2 linked regions of the Oryctolagus cuniculus genome follow. The protein of the gene in region 1 purifies or fractionates together with the protein of each later gene. This does not show direct contact. Links are inferred from orthologs where the notes say so. Each region holds a gene or a part of one and is shown in the gene's direction. Other genes may lie near its edges.

Region 1 (6,766 bases):
GAGAGAGGGCGCCAAGCCCAAGGGCGCGGTCTCATCGCGCTGTCCTTCCTCCGTCCTGCTGCTGTAGACTTTGCCAGCATGGAGCTGTCGGAGGTGGTGAGCAACACCATCCTGTCTGCCTACAACGGGGGGCTCCTGAACGTGAACCTGAGCTCCCCCCCGGCAGGGGAAGGGCTGGCATCCAGCGGCGCTGCCACCTCGCCCATCCTCACTTCCAATGACGCCCTGCTCTTTCACGAGAAGTGTGGGACCCTCATCAAACTCAGCAACAACAACAAGACAGCTGAGCGGCGGCGGCCCCTGGATGAGTTCAACAACGGGGTCGTCATGACGAACCGCCCGCTGCGGGACAATGAAATGTTTGAGGTGTGCAAACCCTGGGGTTTGGCCAGCGCCTCACCCTCTGGGAGCTGAAGATGGGGCTGGATAGGGAGGGAGGTGCTGGCAGAGGGGTGGGGAAGGAGGGCGTGCTCTGGGAAGAACCAAGGCCTGGGGCCCCTCCTCTGTATTTACATTCCCTGGTCTTCCCTTCCGCTGTCACTGGACCCCAGATCCGCATCGACAAGCTTGTAGATAAGTGGTCGGGATCCATCGAGATCGGTGTCACCACGCACAACCCCAACAGTCTGGAGTACCCAGCCACCATGACCAACCTGCAGTCAGGTGCCCGCACTGGCAGGGGTGGAGGCGCAGGCCTGGGGTTTCCTGAGGGGAAGAAGCCTGTGTCCTAACCAGGGCGTCCACCTCCCGCACCAGGCACCATCATGATGAGCGGCTGTGGGATCCTCACCAACGGCAAAGGCACCCGCCGCGAGTACTGCGAGTTCAGTCTGGATGAGCTGCAGGTGCGCGGGGCCCAGAGCCTCCGGCCGCCCTCCTGGGCGACGCGGGGATTCTGTGTCCCTGGCTGGCCGCCATGCATTCAGTGGTCTCTGACCCAGAACTGAGGTTCCTTCTGAGGAGGTGGGGTTGCCCGGCAGCCTCTAAAATGAGGCTGTTCACAGCGCAGCACGTATTTTATAGGTTGAGGTTTGAGGGAGTTGACGCCCGTAAGACGGTTTAACTCAGCGCCTGACTTGCACTGAGTGTTCAGGAACTGCAGACGTGGCCATGTGTGGAGAACAGGGCCCGGGCACCTGTCCTCCTGTGCCCCAGGGTGATCTGAGGCTAGCGTGGACATCTCTGGGAGCTGCTGTCCTGTGGAGGGGGTGGCAGCAAGGCCCAGCGCTGTTCTGGGGCCTGACGGTGGGTAGATTCCAGGCTCACGGCTTTTCTGCTTTGAATAGGAGGGAGACCACATCGGCCTCACGAGGAAGTCCAACTCTGCCCTGCACTTCTTCATCAATGGCATCGACCAGGGTGAGGGGCTGCTCGCAGGTGCTGTTGGGCCAGAGCTTTCAGCCGGACGGGGAGCATAGGGTCAGGACCTCAGCCTCCTGCCTCTTGTGGGTGCTCGGTTTCCCCGTGGTTGACTCCCCTCCCCCCGTTCTCCACTGCACAGGTGTGGCCACCCCGCTGACGCCCCCAGTGGTGTACGGTGTGGTGGATTTGTACGGGATGGCAGTGAAGGTGACCATTGTCCACAATAATAACCACAGCGACCGTCTCCGCCGCAACAATGCCATCCTGCGGGCACTGTCCCCCGAGGGCGCCCTCCGCCGAACCGCTCCTGCCGCCCAGGCGGAACCCGAGCGCCTGCTCTTCCACCCTAACTGTGGACAGAAGGCAGCCATCACCCACGAGGGACGCACTGCCCTGAGGCCCCAGTATGGCCCACGGGGTGGGGAGAAGCCTGCAGAAGGGGCTCTAATGGGACTGGAGAGGGGGTGGCTGGACAAGTGAGAGGCAGAGGGAGTCGGGTCTGGGGCGTTTTGGACAGGAGAGTGGGGCGCCTCCCGCAGTGGGAGGTTCAGTTGGTTGGCTGGGGCTGGCGGGCGTCACTGGGGGAAGCCTTGACACCGAGTGTTGGGATCTGACTCCCCATGTGCTGTGCCCTCAGTGCCACCGACGACTTCAATCATGGCGTGGTACTCAGCAGCAGAGCCCTGCGGGATGGAGAGGTGTTCCAGGTGCGCATTGACAAGATGGTGGACAAATGGGCTGGCTCCATTGAGATTGGCGTCACCACTCACAACCCTGCCTATCTCCAGTTGCCCTCCACCATGACCAACCTGCGCTCTGGTGAGCTCCCGAGAAGGCCAGGGCCAAGGTGGGGTCCCAGGGAGGAAGCTGTCCCCGAAGCCCTGACCCTCATCCTCATCTAGTGGCTGGGGAGCACCCAGTGGGCAGGGCAGAGCTGTTCTGCGGGGGCTGCCATGCAGAGGAGAGAGGCCCCGCCTTCCCTCTCGTGTCCTCTGCCACTCCTCATCCCCCTAGGGACCTGGATGATGACCGGGAACGGGGTGATGCACAACGGGACGACCATCCTGGACGAGTATGGGCACAACCTGGACCGCCTCAAGGTGGGAGAGTGAGGGTCCTATCTGGGCACAGCAGCAGGGGAGGCAGGCGAGGGGGGCCGATGCAGGACCAGCCCAGGCAGGAACTCCGCCTGACTCCTCACTCTAGCCCCCCTTCTTCCAAGGCAGGGGACACGGTGGGCGTGGTGCGGCGGGAGGACGGGACGCTCCACTTCTTCGTCAACGGGATGACTCAGGGCCCCGCCGCCTGGAACGTGCCTCCCGGCGTCTATGCCGTCGTTGATCTCTACGGCCAGGCAGCCCAGGCCACCATCGTGGACGACGTGGGTGAGGGCCGGGCAGCGCTGGGCAGGGGCTTGGGGTGGCCTTGGGAGGCCTTAGAGACACCTGGCAACCCGACGGGTGACGTCCACTCTTGCAGAGGTGCCCCCGGTTCCTGAGCCCCTCCCTGAGGGGAACAACCAGGTGTCCCCGAGCTCTCCGTCGTCAGGGGCCGGGGGCTCTGACCTGCGCTTCCACCAGCTGCACGGCAGTAACGCCGTCATCACCAACGGCGGCCGCACCGCGCTGCGCCACAACTGCCGCAGCGAGTTCAACGACGCCATCGTCATCTCCAACCGGTCAGTCTGCGCGCTGGCGCTCCTGCTTCCCGCGGCCCCGCCTCAGCCTCCCCAGGGCCTCTCTCACTGCCGCCTCCTCGGCAGGGCCCTGCGCGACGGAGAGCTTTTTGAAATTGTCATTCAGAAGATGGTGGACCGCTGGTCAGGCTCCATTGAGGCAGGTGAGGGACATCTGTGTGAGTGCTGGGGGGTCCTGGGGCCTGTGGCCTCGGGGTCAGTGCTGACCAGTTCCTGCCTCCTCCCCAGGAGTGACTGCTATTCGGCCTGAAGACCTGGAGTTCCCCAACACGATGACCGACATTGACTATGATACGTGGATGCTGAGGTTGGGCTTCCTGCCTTTTTTTTTTTTTAAAGATTTATTTATATATTTATTTATGTGAGAGGCAGAGTTACAGAGAGAGGGGGAGAGAAAGTGAGAGAGGTCTTCCATCCGCTGGTTCAGTCCCTAAATGGTCGCAACGGCTGGGGCTGGGCCAGGCTGAAGCCAGAAGCCAGGAGCTTCCTCCGGGTCGCCCATGCAGGTACAGGGTCCCAAGCACTTGGGCCATCCTTCGCTGCTTTCCCAGGTCTTAGCAGGGAGCTGGATTGGAAGAGGAGCAGCCTGCCAGTACTGCAGGCTGAGGCTTAGCCTTTGATGCTGTAGCACCAACCCCAGGCTTCCTACTTTTAAGAGCAGCTGAGGGGAGGCTGAATGGAGCCGGCTGGGAGGGGCAGAGCCAGGGGACTGGCGGTCCCTTCTGTCACAGAAGCCCTGCCTAGCCCTACAGGAACTCGATCTTTCTTCCTTGTAGGATGGTTTCTGCTTTGCCCTGGGGGACCTCAGGATGGGGCTTCTGGCCCAGACCAAGACCCCAGTCTGGGTCTGACCAGCAGGGACTGAGCGGGGGCCAGTGTGGGGATGAGGCTGGGAGGCTGAACACACTCCTGCCGTCCCTGCAGCGGCACCGCCATCATGCAAGACGGCAACACGATGCGCAACAACTACGGGTGTGACCTGGACGCGCTGGGCACGGGGGCGCGCATCGGCATGATGCGCACCGCCAAGGGCGACCTGCACTACTTCATCAACGGCCAGGATCAAGGCGCCGCCTGCTCAGGCTTGCCTCCGGGTAAAGGTGACTACTCTGTGGCTTTGGGCCTGCACCCTCAGGCCGTGCATCCCAGACCTCGGGCGTCTGACCGTGGCTTCCTCTGCCGTCCAGAGGTGTATGCAGTCGTGGATCTCTATGGCCAGTGTGTGCAAGTGTCCATCACTAACGCCACCGGCCCCATGGACAACAGCCTGGCGACCAGCAACAGCGCCACCGAGAAGTCCTTCCCCCTGCATTCCCCAGGTGCAGTGGCAGGGAGGGGGCTGCAGGCTCTGCTTTCCTGCTGTGGGCCCTGGGGGTGCCGCAGGCACAGCCCACAGTGGCACGCTGTCAAGTGGGGGAGGTTATGCCTGGTACACAGAGCCTGACACCGTGGCCTGGGCGTGCCAGGTGTGGGCACGGGTGGTGTAAAGGTGTTGGGGCTCTAAGGAGTAGTGGCAGAGGGGGCCCTTTGTGTCCACTTCCCACTTCATCTGAAGGCTCTGCCCTGTGTCTCGCGTGAAGCCTGCAGCCCCAGTCCTACCCCTTCCCTGGTGCCGTCTTTCACAGTGGCTGGTGTGGCTCACCGATTCCATAGTACCTGTGGCAAGAACGTCACCCTGGAGGAGGACGGCACGAGGGCCGTGCGGGCGGCTGGCTATGCTCACGGCCTCGTCTTCAGCACCAAGGAGCTCAAGGCTGAGGAAGTCTTTGAGGTGGGCTGTGCAGGTGGGACAGTGGGCGCCGCGGGCAGCACGGCAGGGCCAGCTGATGCTGTCTCTCACGCAGGTCAAAGTGGAAGAGCTGGATGAAAAGTGGGCGGGGTCCCTCCGGCTGGGACTGACCACACTAGCCCCAGGGGAGATGGGGCCTGGGGCAGGCGGTGGCCCCGGGCTGCCTCCCTCCCTGCCAGAGCTCCGGACGAAGACCACCTGGATGGTGTCCAGCTGTGAAGTGAGGCGTGACGGGCAGCTGCAGAGGATGAACTATGGCCGGAACCTAGAGAGGCTGGGGGTGAAGCAGCTGGCTCCGGGGACTGGGAGGGCTTGGGAGTGGGGGTGGCAGGGAGGTGGGCTGAGCATCTGCCCTGTCCCACATCGGTCCTAGGTGGGCAGCCGTGTGGGTATTCGCCGGGGGGCCGACGACACAATGCACATCCTGGTAGATGGAGAGGATATGGGGCCTGCAGCGACTGGCATCGCCAAGGTAGACCGGAGAGCGTCCTCGGGTTCCAGGATGGGCTCCTGAGTTGGGGCCTTCCTCTGATCTCTGGTTTTCTGGGTCCTGTGTGCCTGCAGAACGTGTGGGCTGTGTTGGATCTCTATGGGCCAGTGCGCTGTGTCTCCATTGTCAGTTCTACCCGGCTGGAGGAGTCAGAAGGCACCCAGCCTCCTTCCCCCAGCTCGGATACCGGCAGTGAGGTCGAGGAAGATGACGAAGGCGAGGAGCATGGCCTGGGAGTAAGAGGCTGTGTGGGGCCTACTGGGCATGCGGACGGGCAGTGGGCAGCCATTGGATGCCTGGCCTTTCTTGGCTCCTCTGATGGTCCGGCAGAGGCCTTGTCCTTGAGCTCTGGGTAAACCCCCACAGTGGGTTGGTCGTGACTTCAGCAACCCATGCAGTTCAGTCTCTTCCTCTGCCCCAGGGTCAGGATCAAGTGGATGTTGTGCCCACAGCACTCGAGTTCCTGGAGAACCATGGGAAGAATATCCTCCTGTCCAACGGGAATCGGACAGCCACGCGGGTGGCCAGCTATAATCAGGGCATTGTGGTCATCAGCCAGCCCCTCATTCCCCAGCTGCTGGTCCAGGTGGGCCCTGCCTCCTGCCAGCTCCTCCCAGTCCAGGGCAACCCAGGGCCAGCCCTCCTGGAGAGAGGCCTTTCCAGGAGAAAAGTGAAAGGCAAGCCCCTGGATGAGCTGCCTGGGCTTTTGTTCCTGTCTGTAATGGGGCTGAAAATTAGTTCCCACCAAATGCAGGGCGGGGCTGGGCGTCCGAGGGAGATACCTGGGAGGAGGGCTTTCTGCTGCAAGTGGAAAGTGGAGGAAGCCCCTGAGAGACACAGCCAGACCATGGCTTCCAGGAGAAAGCAGCTTCTGGCCCCTGCATCAGAAAGGGTGGCTTCCCAGGCCACGCCCTGGCAGGTGCAGAATGCCCGCCCCATCCTGCTAGGTGGGAGGAGGGGTTTCGAGTAGTCCTGTCTCCCCCAGGTGCGGATAGACTTCCTGAACAGACAGTGGACGTCTTCTCTCGTCCTGGGCGTCATCACCTGCCCACCCGAGAGGCTCAACTTCCCTGCTTCTGCCTGTGCCCTCAAACGGGCAGCCTGGCTGCTGCGGGGCCGCGGCGTCTTCCACAACGGTCTCAAGGTGAGCAGGGAGCCAGGGAGAGTGAAGGCGGCCAGGTCTCCAAGGAGGGAGGGGTGGCCCTGGAGGAAGGAGTGCAGGTCTGAAGTGGGATGGCAGGGGGTGGGCAAGGGTGTGAGTGCCGTCAGCTCAGTTTCAGGCCTGTACCCTGCCACTGAGCAGCTGCAGTGGGGAGCAGGGAGGGGCCTCTAGGTAACCACCGTGGGAGCAGAGCTCAGAGAGCGGGGAGGGTTGGGAGCCATCCCAGGGAGGGGCGACCAGTGGCAGGCTGCAGGGCGGGGTGGCTGC
Region 2 (7,492 bases), on another chromosome or scaffold:
ACCTGGAAGAAGCTCCAGGATCCTGGTTTTGGATCAAATCAGCTCTGGCCATTGCAGTCATTTGGGGAGTGAACCAGTGGATGGAAGACCTTCCTCTCTCTCTCTCTCTCTCCTCTCTGGCTCTACATCTCTCTGTAACTCTCTCTCAAATACATAAAATAAAACTTAAAAAGCAACAACCCATGGGGAATCTGGCTGCTTGTCTGGGAGTGTGAATGTTTGTCTTTGGGCGGGGGAGGAAGCTGATAAGCAGGTGACTCAGGACCAGGAAAGACATCTGCTGTGTGGGGTGACCTATTTAGGATACCCAGGCTCACTGTCCAGGACCCCACTGCACTTGCTGGGTGCCCCAGAGTATTCAGACACCGGCCTTTGTTCTGTTCCTGGAAGGCAGGGCACACACCGTTACCAGAACGCGCCTGGTAACCTCATTCCTACCTCCGGGCCTTTGCACCTGCTGTTTCCAGTTCCTGGAACCCGTTTCCCCAGATGATCTTTCTCCTAACTTCAGTTCCAGGGTCACTACTCCACCTCAAACGGCCTCCTTCGGCCCTCCCTGTCACTGTCCTTCTTCTTCGCCGGCACGGGTCACTGGAGGCTCTGGGAACGCGGAGTCCCGCGCGCAGCGACTCTGCGTGGGGAGACGCGGGGCTCCGGGACACGGGGCTCCGGGAGGGGTCCCTGCGGACGACGGGTGGGAAGCAGCCCAGGGAGGCCCCGGAAGGGCAAGCTCAAGCCCGAGCTCCCACGAGGGCCGAGGGGGCGCGAGGCGAGGGGGGCTCACCTGCCGAATGGCCGCCAGCGTGTTCTCGGGCGCGTCGTGGCTGCCGCCCCGGTGGGCGATGGCGGACACGCGGTCCCGGGGCTTGAGCACCTGCAGGGCCCGGCGGGAGGGCAACGGCTCAAAGCTGAAGAGCCGCAGCAGGACGTAGAGGCTGCCGGTGAGGAGGCAGGCATTGAAGGGGCTGCGCGTTAGCAGCAGCAGCAGCACCAGCAGGAAGGAGAAGGGGCCCAAGAGGCCCCCCTGGTCCTCCCACAGCCACATGCCGGCGCCCGCACCGGCAAGGACGGGAGTCCCGGGCCGGCCGGGCTCCCGGGCCGGGGCAGCAAGAGGCGAGGGGGCAGAGGCCGAGCACTGGCCGCCTCCGGCACCCTCCGAGGGGACCAGCGCCGCACAATGGCGGCGGCGGCCACATCCCGAGAGGGAGCTGGCCGCCCAGCCAATCAGCGCCCGAGATCGCCGGCGCGAGGGGCGGAACTGCTGCCGTGGCAACGGGGGCGGGCCCAGGCCCCAGGCTCAAGTTCCAAAGAGGCTTGGGGGTTTCTCTGGGGTTTGGGCTTCTTGGGTCGAGTGTGGAGGGGAAGGGGACAGAGCCCGCCGGCGACCGCAGGAGTGGGAGGGACTGAAGTGACTCCTTCGTCCGTCCTCGAGGAGAGGGAGGTCCTGGGGAGCGTGAAGGTGCAGGGAGCTAAGACTATGTATTCCAATGGAGATGTGCCCACACAGGCGTGGGTGCTCCGGACCCAGCCCTGAGCAGGACTGCGGGGTCCCTGCCCTATGGAGGATGATAGTGTTCACACAGCACTGATCCTGCCTCGGGTGCTGTCCAGCAAACACTGCCTATGCCTAGCTCGCGTAGACTCACCACATCTGCAGCAGTGGGCATTATCTCAGAGGGGTGGTTTCAGTCCACTTTCGAAGGATTTTTGTGATTCCGAGAGGATGGAAGAACAGAGCAAAGGAAGAATTGACAGGAATTTCAATGATTTCTTTTTTGAAGAAAAAATGTATTTATTTACTTGAAAGGTAAGGGAGTGGAGAGAGAGAGAGAGAGAGAGAGAGAGAGAGAGAGAGAGAGAGAGATCTTCCATGTGCTGGTTCACTCCTAAATGACTGCAACAGTCAGGACTGGGCCAGGCTGGAGCCAGGAGCCAAGATTTCCAACCCTGTCTCCCACGTGGCTGCAGCGACCCACGTACCTGGGCCATCTTCTGCTGCTTTCCCAGGTGCATTAGCAGGGAGCTGGATTGGAAGTGCAGCAGCCAGGACTTGACCTGGTGCTCTTATGGGCTGTCGGTGTTGCAGGCAGCGCCCTTACCCTATGTCAGCATGCCGATCCCAGTGGTAAGGAAACCAAGGAGAGGCAAAGAATGGGGTGGGTAATGGCAGGGTCAGGGCTAACATGAAGCCAGTGGCTTGTGACTTTTCCACTGCCACCCTCCTAATCTTATTTTTCCTACTACTAAAGGTTAATGTACCAGGCGCTGGGAGAGTTATCTGAGTTGTGCTTTGCAACCACCCTGTGATAGCAGTTCTAACCTTTCCCTTTTATAGAGTCAAAGACAAGCACCAGAAAGAGGAACAGAGACCCAAGGGGAAGCCTACTCAGGGAATGGAGAGAGGCTGCTAAATCATATTTTGAATGGCTGGTGACACATTTTTCCTTTTTCTTTAAGATTTACTTATTTATTTGAAAGGCAAGTTACAGGGAGAGACAGAGAGAGAGAAAGTGAGTGAGCGAGAGAGATCTTCTATCCACTTGCTTACTCCCCAGATGTCTGCTATAATGGGCTGGGTTGGGCCAAAGCCAAGAGCCAGGAGCTTCATCCAGGTCTCCCATAGGGGTACGGGGGCCCAAGCACTTGGGCCATCCTCTGGCTGTTTTTCCCAGGTGCATCATCATGGCTCTAGATCAGAAGTGGGGCATCTGGGACGAGAACTGGCACTCATATGGGATGGTAGCATTGCAGGCAGTGGCTCCACCTGCTATGTCACCACGCCGTCTTCTGTGACTTTTCAATAGACAATTTTGGTAAAACATTCAGAGAATTTTCTTCCATCTTGAATCTGTTACCTGTTTCTCTTGGACAAACCTTCTCATTGGAATTCAAAAGCGTATGGATTATCTTAAGGCTTCCAATTGGCTTCTATGATTTAGTAAATTTTTATGTACAGAGCAAAAACATTGCTGAGGGGCTGGCATTTGGTGCAGCCCCAAAGACACTGCTTGGGATGCTTCCACCCCATGTCAGAGTGCCTGGGTTGGAGTCCCCGATCTGCTTCTGTCCCAGCTTCCTGCTAATGGGCACCCTTGAGAATGGACAGGTGGACTCAAGTACTTGTCCCTGCCACCCTGCGGGAGACCCCCAAGGAGTTCTGGGATCCTGGCTTCAGCCAGGGTGTTGCGGGCATTTGAGGAGATCTGTCTCTGTTTCTGCCTTTCAAATAAAATACATATATTTTAAAATATTTGTGAATGATATGTTTTCCAGCGACCACACAGGGAGAGGTAATAGCTATAAAAATAAGAAGAAAAATGGCAGCTTTATGGAACACTTTAGGGGCTTCAGACCCCAACCAGAGTTCTGGTTATAGAAAAATTGTAATTCTAGAAGGGCGGTGTAGCAGGGAAGACTACATTTCCCAGGATGCATTCCGCTCGCCGCAAGCACACGCCCTTGGTCAGGGGTGCGCAGTGCATCTCGGGGACTGTAGTTTTCTGGAGCCCAACCGTTCCAACTGCCCGCGAAGCCACTACCGGAAGTGCCCGCCCTGAGAGGTGGAGTCTAGGTGGCGGCAGCGGCGGCGGTTGCCAGGAGCCCGCGTTGTCGCTTCTGAGACCCGTAATATGGCGGGGAGGAGGAGGCGAAGGCGGCGGCGGACCGAACTGTGCTCTGTCAGTACAAGTTGAGCCATTTGCTTCCTGCCTGACAAGGCTCGTGGCGAAGGGAGAAAGTCTGAGGGGGCCGTGGGGCATCAGGTTTGTGCGTGAGGAGGGGGCAGGACCCTCGGCGGGTGGCCGGGGAGAGGCGAGCGGGAGAGGCGGAATTGGCGCCCTGAGGTGCCGAGGGCGGGCTGTGTGCCGGCTCCTGGGCCTCGAGCCCCTGGAAGGGCGCCGGGCGTGGGGAGGCGGGGGCCCGAGGCCGGTGGTGCTGGGATGCGATGCTCGGATGCCGGCCGCACGCAGCGGGCTCCATGTCCGAGGAGCCGGCTGCAGGGTGCGGCGTGCAGGGCAGAAGGGCGCCCGAGGCCGGAGAGCCCCGTTCGGGGGTCGAAGCTGGGGGTGTTTTCCCCCGTCTCCGTCCCGGGCTGTGCCCGGCCCTTTCGAAACCGGCGACCTGGGAGCGCCGTTTGCCTCGCCTCTGCGATTCCGGGGTGGAAGCATGGCGAATCCTCTGGATCGCCCCTGATGCTGCTGGTTGGTTCCCAGCCTTTGCTTCTTATCCGGTGATCACCCCAGCCCCCTACCCCTGTTTGTGCACGTGGCAGCCGGCTAGGGATTGCCCTGGTGGGAAGGGGTCTGCGCACGGCGCGATGAACAAGCAGTCCCGTGTTTTCCAGTCACATTTGCATCCTACCAGGAACCCAGCACTGTCACTGCCAGCCCTCTCCCCCTCTCTCCTTGGAGTTCCTAGTCTCTTGCTACAAATCATCACTGGCATTCTCTTCTTCACAATGCGTGGACGATTTCTGTGTGCCCTGTGTATGCTAAGTGCATTCGCTCCTTGGATTCTCACGAACTACCTGTGAGACAGGTGTCCCCATGACCCGCACTTTACAGAGGAGGAAGATGAGCTGGAGGACAGTCGCTGGCTCACCAAGAACGCCCAGCCAGGGTGTGCCCGAATGTCACATCTTCCTCCTGGCGTCTCGCTCTGCGTGTGTGTGCTGCCCGGGTGAGGCGCGTTCTACATTTGTTATGCCCTCCCCCCCCCCCCCCACCAGATTAAAAAGAAGAAATGCCGCTGACTGCTGCTACAGGAATTTTATGCTGGCGGGGGTCCTGATGGGTACCCAGTCAGCTCGCTTCTGCCCACAAGGCCGGATCTTGGCCGTGTTATTTTTGTCACTCTCTGCGGTGACAGTTTTGGCTGGTAAGGAGCAGATAGGACCCTGAGTTCCTTGGGTTTGTCAAGAGGCTCATTTGAATAAGGCTCAGCAGAACTCTGGCTCATAAGCAAAGAAGAGGAGGCACACAGCCGACGTTATTCCTGGCTGTGGACCGGCAGTGCCTTGTGGTTGGATTGGCCTCGTAGCCAAGGCTCTGTGGAAGTAAAACCTGGCAGCAGAGGGATTGTGGTAGAGAAACAGTGCCTGTGCCCCACGCCACGCGGGATGCAGACGGCTCACTTTGTAAGTGGCTCCCTTTGCAGCTCACAGAGAGCCGGGTCAGCAGGGAAACTTCGTTCTCTGGACTCCATCCTTCCTTGCTAGCTCTTTTGCTGTGTCGCCCACCCTCTTCCTTTCCCTGGCTTACCTTACTGTTGGAGGGAATCAGCTGATTCATGTATTCACCGTTCTTTACTGAGTGCCAGCTGCGTGCCCGCGTTGTTCTGTGCAGTGGGGATGCAGCGGACAAGGCTGCGAAGGTACCGGCGCTCACATGGCTTACGTTTTAGCGGAGGCAGACAGACAAAACCAGAGAAAGACAAGAGAATTTCAGAGAGTGCTAAGTCCGAAGACTGGAAGACAGCAGGGTAACGGGGTAGTGGCTGAGGCAGGGTAAATTTAGAAGGGCGCTCAGGGCTGGTCCTTGTGAGGAGGTGGCACCTGAGCTGAGACCAGAGGCAGGAGGGATCCCGCTGTGGCCCGGGATCAGCTTGCAGTTTCTGTGACCTCCATATCAGCACTCATACTTGAATAGTTGAAGCATTGTTGCATGCTGTATGTTATGCTACAATAATAATAATACCAGCGTATTGCTTGTGAAGATATGTCACAGGTTTATGGGAAGGTGGAGCTAAAAGACAAGGTTATTTTGTTAGAAAAAAACTTTAAAAGCATATCTTACTTATTTCAGAGGCAGACACACACACACACACACAGATCAAGATATTCTCTGTCTGTTAGTTCACTCCCCAAATGCTTGTGGCAGCCGGGACTGGGCCTGGCCAAAGCCAGGAGTGGGAACTCAGTCCAGGTCTCCCACATGGGTGGCAGGATTGCAATTACTCGAGCCCAGCCGTAGCCCCTGCCTCCCACAGTTTGCGTTAGCAGGAAGCTGGAGCCTGGAGCTGGGGCCAGGTATGGAGCCCAGGTGCTCCCGTTGGGGACGCAAGTGTCTTGATTAACAGCTGGGCCAAATGCCTGCCCCTGGTGCAGAAAGCTTCTGCAACCCATGCGTAGGTTTTTCATTCTATGCATTTCCCACAGATTTTTTGAAGACTGCTCATCCATCTGCAATTTGTAGTATATACATTTGCTATTTAAAGAATGTAAATAACCTTCTGAAACAATGAAGCATCTGTGATGTTGAAAGAAAAATAAAGCTGTTGCCATGGAAGTATTTTATTTCCTTAAACTTCCCAGATCTTTAAAATTGAATTTTGTGCTCGTGTATTTATAGAAAGTATAGCACATGATTTGCATGCCGGGTCTATTTCTGTTCCCTGGAACGCTGCAGATGTGGATTGGGTTTTCAAACATACTTTTGAGATATTTTAGCCTAAATGAGTTTATCTGAATTGCTCTTGCAGCTTAGCTGCTGCATATTTTGGTTGTTAAGAGAACATAGTGCAGGTTAAAACAGACTAAAACATGGTTATGTAGGGACCGGCTTTTGGCTCCTGACTCCAGCTTCCTGCAGGTGTGGACCGCAGGTGGCAGCAAAGATGGCTGAAGTAATTTGGGTCCCCGCCACCCACGTGGGAGACTTGGATTGAGTTCCTGTTTCCTGGCTTTGGCCTGGTCCAGCCCTAGGTGTTAGAGGCATTTGGCGAGTGTCAGAGCTCTTTATCTCTTTGTCTCTTTTTGTCTCTTCCATAAATAAAGTTAAAACTTTTTAAAGATGAATATAAGCTTACAAAGTAATCTCATTCACACTCTAGAAAACTGTTTCTTTGAAACTAAACTCTCACTTTGCATATGATGGGTGATCCCTCCTAAATTACATAGGCATCCATAATTATAATCGATAGAATGGTAGCAAGAGGTTTTATTGATAGAACTGCTAGTTGAGCAAAAGCAGCTTTACATTTTATTTTCCATAATCGAATCATAATTCTGAATATACTTTTTCCTCATTTCTTTTTTTTTTTTTTTTTTTTTTTTTTTTTTTTTTTTTGACAGGCAGAGTGGACAGTGAGAGAGAGACAGAGAGAAAGGTCTTCCTTTTGCCGTTGGTTCACCCTCCAATGGCCGCCGCTGCAGCCGGCGCACCGCGCTGATCCTGGCAGGAGCCAGGAGCCAGGTGCTTTTCCTGGTCTCCCATGGGGTGCAGGGCCCAAGCACCTGGGCCATCCTCCACTGCACTCCCTGGCCATAGCAGAGAGCTGGCCTGGAAGAGGGGCGACCGGGACAGAATCCGGCGCCCCAACCGGGACTAGAACCCGGTGTGCCGGCGCCGCAAGGTGGAGGATTAGCCTATTGAGCCACGGCGCCGGCCTCCTCATTTCTTATTGCATTACAATCTGTCCCTTTCACTTTAGTATGCTGAGTTTTTAAGTGCCTAACACAGTGCCATACTCCATCTTATTTCATCTTTGCGTATCC

The links. Proteins that work in one complex are often made in the same cells at the same time.
Region 2: the proteins of NEURL4 (region 1) and CCP110 purify together in Homo sapiens (affinity purification with western blotting; 4 studies listed by BioGRID and IntAct, with this or other methods). This does not show direct contact. The link is inferred for Oryctolagus cuniculus from reciprocal best matches to the Homo sapiens genes NEURL4 and CCP110.

The regions. Positions count from the first base shown.
Region 1 is NC_091448.1:51,921,499-51,928,264, reverse strand, and holds part of NEURL4 (neuralized-like protein 4), read left to right. Parts: intron 1-67; coding exon 68-366; intron 367-551; coding exon 552-663; intron 664-756; coding exon 757-845; intron 846-1,286; coding exon 1,287-1,359; intron 1,360-1,501; coding exon 1,502-1,766; intron 1,767-1,999; coding exon 2,000-2,181; intron 2,182-2,376; coding exon 2,377-2,462; intron 2,463-2,584; coding exon 2,585-2,747; intron 2,748-2,841; coding exon 2,842-3,040; intron 3,041-3,124; coding exon 3,125-3,201; intron 3,202-3,286; coding exon 3,287-3,365; intron 3,366-3,982; coding exon 3,983-4,158; intron 4,159-4,245; coding exon 4,246-4,377; intron 4,378-4,683; coding exon 4,684-4,829; intron 4,830-4,902; coding exon 4,903-5,127; intron 5,128-5,220; coding exon 5,221-5,319; intron 5,320-5,411; coding exon 5,412-5,573; intron 5,574-5,758; coding exon 5,759-5,923; intron 5,924-6,322; coding exon 6,323-6,481; intron 6,482-6,766. UniProt on the Homo sapiens protein: Promotes CCP110 ubiquitination and proteasome-dependent degradation. By counteracting accumulation of CP110, maintains normal centriolar homeostasis and preventing formation of ectopic microtubular organizing centers.
Region 2 is NC_091450.1:21,518,356-21,525,847, forward strand, and holds the start of CCP110 (centriolar coiled-coil protein of 110 kDa), read left to right. Parts: upstream 1-3,540; 5' UTR 3,541-3,761; intron 3,762-7,492. Other genes in the region: GDE1 (glycerophosphodiester phosphodiesterase 1), read right to left, coding at 785-1,045.